2 linked regions of the Oryzias latipes genome follow. Each later gene encodes a partner of the first gene's protein in a complex. Links are inferred from orthologs where the notes say so. Each region holds a gene or a part of one and is shown in the gene's direction. Other genes may lie near its edges.

Region 1 (3,066 bases):
AAAGTGGCTGTTGTCCTGTAGGTGGCAGTAAAGCTGCTTAACTACAACTCTTTCTAGGATTTTAGAAATAAAGGGCAGGTTTGATATCGGTCTATAGTTGGCCAAGATGCTAGGATCCAAACTGGGCTTTTTCAGTAGAGGTTTAACAACTGCATATTTAAAAGACTGTGGCACGTAACCCGTTTCCAGAGAGGTATTTATCATTGTTAATATGGGATCATTAATTAGGGGAAAAGTTTCTTTAAAAAGTCTAGTGGGAATTGGGTCTAACAGACACGTTGAGGATTTGGAGGACGTAATAATTGATGTTATTTCCGCTTGATCCACAGCAGTGAAGCAGTCCAATGTTACAGAGGTTTCTATGGATGCCTCCATTTCTACCGCTTCAGCCTGTTCTGGGCTGATAGTAGGAATAACTTGATTTAACTTATGTCTAATATTTGAGATTTTACTATCGAAAAATGTAAGAAAATCATCAGAGCTGAGAGAAACAGGAACATGTGGTTCTACTGAGCTCTGACTGCGAGTTAATTTAGCTATAGTGCTAAAAAGAAATCTTGGATTGTTTCCATTCTCTGATATTAAGGTTGAATAGTACTGGCTTCTAGCTCTACGCAGAGCTTTTTTATAATTTAATAGGCTATGTTTCCAGGTATTCAGAGACTGCTCTGAACCGGAGCGGCGCCATTCTCTTTCCAACTTACGGGTTTCTTGTTTAAGAGAACGAGTTTCAGCGTTAAACCACGGTGCTACTCGGTTTTGTCTAACAAACTTAGGTTTCAAGGGGGCAACAACATGGAGTGTACTCCTGAGGGCTTGTAAGGCATCATTAACAAAGTGGTCATTTATACTAGGACTGATACTATGGGAGCTGGTCTCAGAGTATTTTCTCAGAATATCACTAAGTACTGGCTGAACTGTGTGTTTAAACTCAGACACAGAACGGTCAGTTAAGGTTCTTCTAAGCTGTTTCTTATTCACTGGGACAGAAGGATGTTCCAGTGTAAACTGGAAGGTAATCAGAAAGTGATCAGAAATGATGGGGTTAAGAGGAAGGACACTCAGCTGGCTGATCTCTATCCCATGGGTTAGAACAAGGTCCAGGGTGTGCTTATGACAGTGAGTGGGTTCATTCACACTTTACAAACACATTACAAACTCCCCTCAACAGGAGTACATTTGGTTTTGGTTCCTGGAATGTTAAGACGCTTCCATTAATAATCAAATGATCCAGCAGGATCACGCCCCCCTGCTGGCCGAGCGGGAAGTGCAACATTTTTATATATGATATATGATATATTTATCATATCATCATATTTTATATGATGTCTGGGTGGTTCTGGACTGGTCCGGACCCTTTGAGAACTTCCCATCAGGCAGTTAAAGTGGTGATTACAGAAGTAACAAATGATAGATCTGACCGTTAAAGATCAACCACAGACCATCGGCTCTGCATCCAGCCATGAACCGGTTTAACATATATTAATATATATATTGAACATATTCTGTAATCTGTTGGCGAGACCGTAGTTTTCTGATTCAAAGACCCACTCCGATGGCATCGGTGATTTAACATGTACTGGTGGCCTTTTCTCACAATGGAGAACTTGCATAAAAGAAGATTAAAATGCATATCTGAGTATTTCTATATTCAAATTGTTGAGCAGCAAGTGAAATGGGCGGGGCCACAAGCTCCCTGCTCGCTCCGTTCTGGGAAGCCTTTGAAAACAGACCAGAAGATGGTCAGTTTCTTTTTTTATTAGACATGAACCAAACTCTGCCTTCTCTGCTCATGTTAATGCAAACTAAAGTATTGACTGACTTCATGCTGAACAAAGACCATCTTCCTGAAATCCGGCTTATATTTAACAGGAAGACGGCCGATCCGGATCATTCAGGAATGTCATGATCTAAAGACGGACTTTGTCTGAACTGTTCCTCTCTGACCCCCTCCTGGTTTTCAGGTCTCTGCTGCTGTCAGCTCGTCCGGAGAGCTCAGGTTTCTGTCCGAACCCACTCTGTCAGACACTGAACCAGAACTGACTGACGCCAGGTAAGAAGCTCCTATATCCTCCAGAACCACACAGATCCAGTTACCCCAACACAAACATGTCTGGCTGAGTTCCTGAAGGATCCATTTCTTTCCTGAAAGCAGAACCAGAAGAAAGAAGAAGGTGAAAAAGCCTGGAGTTCCTGTGTCTTCATCTCAGACTACAGTTTCTGACGCAGATACTTCTGGGTCGACCAGAACCATAAGAGGCAGACCTCTGCCACCGAGACCAGCGGGGAGGTCCAACAGGGCCTTTGAGGCCGACACGTAAACTGTGGACAAACCCAGAGAGCCGTTCTGATGTCACTAATACTCCACAGCATTATTGCTGCGTTCTCCGTCAGAAATTACCCAAAGATCTTTGGTGTTTGAGGCTGCAGGTGTTTGTGTGAGGAACAAGAACATTGTGTTCAGGAAAGTTTTATTTTGTACTATTTACAGTAAAAACCCGTGAAACAAGCGGCTCCGTGTGAACAGGATTCCTGTCCGCTCTCTGGAGGTTTTTGGGGGAATAATCCCGCTCACCAGACCTAAGCTGTTAAGCAGGAAAAGCTCCGGACAAAGGCCCGTTCTGGCAGGAATGGCGTTCAGATCTTCTCTCCGTGAGCAGAGCGGCTGGCCCCGCCCCTAGATGTTTCCTCAGTCCAGCAAAGGAGTGCTTTCTGCTGTTTGCTGCACGCTGCAAAGACAGAAACTCTCAGACTTCAGGTTGATGAGGAAGATTCCTGATGATGGATCTGACGTTACCTCCCCCGCCGGCGCTCCCAGAGGGAGTACATCCCCAGGAGGAGGGCCTGTGGACAGAGACAGCTTCACTGCACAAAGGGTTAATGATTGATCAGAGCTAATCACATTCATGACTCCTTCAAAGTGGGTCAAAGATGAGGACCCACCCCCGCAGAGTCAGGAGTACTCACAGCCAGAAGGCCCACGCCCCCCTGGATGGTGGCGGCCCACTCAAAGGTCAGATGTTGGGTGATAAGGCCGCCCACAATGGGGCCGTAAAACATTCTGTA
Region 2 (3,247 bases), on another chromosome or scaffold:
GGGTAAATAGCTTAATATCCAGTAGTTGTTTATTGTTTTGTTTTTTGAATTTCTTTACTGGTTTCTGCTTTTTTCTTCTTGATTTCCACGTGTTTCTAATGAGCACGAGCTACATTTTCTTATGCTATAACAATTTTCTCTTTTTATGCCATATTGGACCATCATACCTGCTCTCCATTACTACTGTAGAACTGTTGGTTGAGTTGATGCAGTTAGAGAAAAAGTTACCGGTAATCGTTTTTTTTATGAACAATACAATATCAAAAATTATCTTTCAGATGTGAGCGATGCCAGGCTACCTTCTCTAATACCTTCTGTACGTGTCAATCCCCAAATGTCCAGGTGAGTTTGGTCATCTACTACCCGCACATTCCCTAAATCCACAGAAATCTGTTGCAGTCACAAAATCACAAATGATTGTGAATGTAATTTTTTGCAGGCTGGAGGTTTATGTTTTCCTCCAGGCAGCTTCTCCACTAATGTGAATCCAAGTGTCAGCTATGCTCAGTTGGTAAGTCAAAGTGTAATTCTCTTCCTAGAAAATAATACTTGTATGTTTTTCCTGCTTGTGATTTTCTTTCATTTTCTTCACAGGCGTTTAGCATCCAGTCTGCCTGGTTTGTGGAAAACCTCTATTCTTCTGCAGCAGCTTGCCTTGTAATTTCACAGCCTTTACAAAACTTCTTTTTCTTAGAAAAATTATGACTTAACATGTTTGTTTTTCTTGAAGTCAATTTCCTTCCTAAATTTGGACAAACAGCTTTAAATGTTCCCATAAACAATCGTTAGAATTCTTACCGAAATTATTTTTAGAATGTACTGTAACAGATTTAAACATACGTTTTTCACCAAATTAATTTTGTAGTTAGAGTTTTATTAAAAGAAAATCATATTTTTGTTTTTTTCCCCACAGGTCTTCAGCAACTTGACAGCGTGTCAGGCTCTCGGAAACATGTGTGTTATGAACATGCACTCCTTCACTGGACTTTCCACAGATGCTTGTGGTCTCTTTAACACCATCTCTAGGTCAAAGGCTGCTCTGAGCTCTGTTCAAGACATTTCTTACTGGTATTCACGTTTGATTTGGATTTTCCTTTTTTACATTGTTCATGCAGCAATTACCTTACATTAAAAAAAACAGACACTAAACAGATATGATACTCTTGTCGGCAGGAGGGCCAACCTGCCTTGGCTTTACTATGGAGATGAGCCGGGCCTGGCGGGCCAAGTGCTCCAAAATAAACCTGTTCCCTTGTCTTTCAGTTTCAGAGGAACAAAAAAGGTTAGCGATTCTTTTTTTTTTTACAAGTCTTTTCAAAGATTCTGATAAGCTAACACAAATATCCCCATTTGTTTTGAATACTAAGAAATGCACATTTTAATTCAAAGTGGTATGTTTTTGTCAGAACACTGACATCCAGCTGCTTGCTGCTGTCTACAATGTCAGAGGAGACTTTCTCAGATGGGATCCCATTGGAGGAAACAACCTGCAGGTAAGAGCTTCAAAAAAAAAAGTATTTGAAGTATCTGAAGTATTTGATTTGGACTCAGGAAAATAAGTATTCTAGATCTGAGATGGACATGATCAGATCAGATTTACCGTAAACTAAATCACTGACATATTTATGTGGCTTATTGTTAAACTCTAAAGTTCATTAAATAAATCAAAGATTATTTTGTAAGTTAAATTTATCTATGTTGAATATGTTTGTTTACATTTATAAATACATTTTTTTGTTGCTGTTTTACCCACTTAATGAAACATTTCTTGTCCATTTAGCATAGAGAGTTGACAAACTGTCTTGTTTCTTAGCTTTGTCCAGAACAAGCCTTCAAGCAGGCAGCAGCCTTCAGCTTTGGGACCACTTATCAGGAAACTGTGAGTGTCAGACCCCTTTTGCTTAAAAGTCTACAAACTGGTATTGTCCAGTCATATAATTGTGTTATTAATTTGTTTTTACTCTGTGTGTAAAGTGCGAGCTTTCAGTAGCAGAACTTCTCACTACACATCCCGAGCCGTTATTCTACGATGTGTTCATGGACCTGGGCGGAGGAGACAACAGAAAACTTCTTCCTCTGCCAACTCTAGTTCAGAATCAGCAGTATAATGGGCAGTTCATCAATCAAGGTGGATTTTTATCTTTGATGTTCACATTTTGTTTATTTTATCTGTGATATCTTATTTAATTTTATTTTTATTTCCAGGGAGCATGCAGAACTGGTATCTGTCTCGACGCATCTTTCTTGTTGATACATTAAGTGGGAGAGAGAAAACTCTAAGCTCTTTGCCTAAAGTCATCCGGGTGGCCACTAGTATCAAGATTAGGTAAACTATTAAAATGGATTCAAAAAGCTTTGGAAACTTGCTTTTCCCGACTATAATGTGAATTTGGTGATGGTGTTTGGTAGGTTCCAGCTGGTTCCGCGTACTCAGGAGGGACAGATCTATCCCCCTCTGGTGTCTGTGAGCTACACAGATGTTCTTATCAAGGAGGCCAACAGCCAGACTCTACCTGTGAGTAGGCTGAAATTCAAGAATGCCCAACAATGTTTTTCTACCTACAGAAGCAAGAACAAAGCTTTGATTAAACGCAAAATGTATCATTGAAATTTTTCAAAAGTGAAGGCATTTAAGAACCTTAATTATTTTTGTGATAAGGGAAGCTTTTAACCAATTTGAAAGATCTTCACAAAAACTTTGGTTCAACACAGTGTGCATCTTTTATAGGTGACATTTTCTGTGGAGTATGAAATGGATCAGAGCGAGGCCCGCACAAAGACAGATGTGAGTCGATGCAAAAATGGAATAATGGAAAATGTTCATTTTTTTTTTTTTTGTACCGTTGGGATCAAAGCAAACAGTGGTATATTTTGGGCTATGTGTGCACAGACTGCTCTGGGCGTTCTGGGAGGCCTGGCGGCGCTCTATTCCATTCTAAAGACAGTTAGCTGGAAGCGGAGGATTGCCTCTCCCCTAATTGACATGGAGGTACCGTCTCTAATCAAACGCATAATTTCAAGCACAAAACCTTATATGAACATTGCCCTTTTTCTCCTCCTCTTTAGACAATGCTAAAGTTTCTGTTGTTTTATGCTGGAGATTTGGCTAATGTTTTCTTTGCCGTAACTGTGGGAACTGGGCTTTACTGGCTCATATTTTACAAGGTATGTTGAGTCCCTCAAACTTAAACAAATAATTTATTTCTAGAGTATGATGAGTCTTTAAACTCTGTCATGTCTTACTGTG

What was found. Proteins that work in one complex are often made in the same cells at the same time.
Region 2: ahi1 (region 1) and tmem67 share a complex: the UniProt entries of both Homo sapiens proteins name them as parts of the tectonic-like complex. The link is inferred for Oryzias latipes from reciprocal best matches to the Homo sapiens genes AHI1 and TMEM67.

Annotation. Positions count from the first base shown.
Region 1 is NC_019880.2:267,466-270,531, forward strand, and holds the end of ahi1 (jouberin), read left to right. Parts: intron 1-1,742; exon of another isoform or gene 1,743-1,964; coding exon 1,965-2,053; exon of another isoform or gene 2,054-2,145; intron 2,146-2,152; coding exon 2,153-2,321; 3' UTR 2,322-2,509; downstream 2,510-3,066. Other genes in the region: MFS-type transporter SLC18B1, read right to left, coding at 2,690-2,729, 2,798-2,844, 2,968-3,061. UniProt on the Homo sapiens protein: Involved in vesicle trafficking and required for ciliogenesis, formation of primary non-motile cilium, and recruitment of RAB8A to the basal body of primary cilium.
Region 2 is NC_019874.2:17,687,582-17,690,828, forward strand, and holds part of tmem67 (meckelin), read left to right. Parts: intron 1-278; coding exon 279-342; intron 343-439; coding exon 440-511; intron 512-594; coding exon 595-657; intron 658-913; coding exon 914-1,068; intron 1,069-1,173; coding exon 1,174-1,282; intron 1,283-1,406; coding exon 1,407-1,493; intron 1,494-1,813; coding exon 1,814-1,879; intron 1,880-1,974; coding exon 1,975-2,128; intron 2,129-2,205; coding exon 2,206-2,326; intron 2,327-2,409; coding exon 2,410-2,515; intron 2,516-2,728; coding exon 2,729-2,785; intron 2,786-2,890; coding exon 2,891-2,989; intron 2,990-3,066; coding exon 3,067-3,165; intron 3,166-3,247. UniProt on the Homo sapiens protein: Required for ciliary structure and function. Part of the tectonic-like complex which is required for tissue-specific ciliogenesis and may regulate ciliary membrane composition.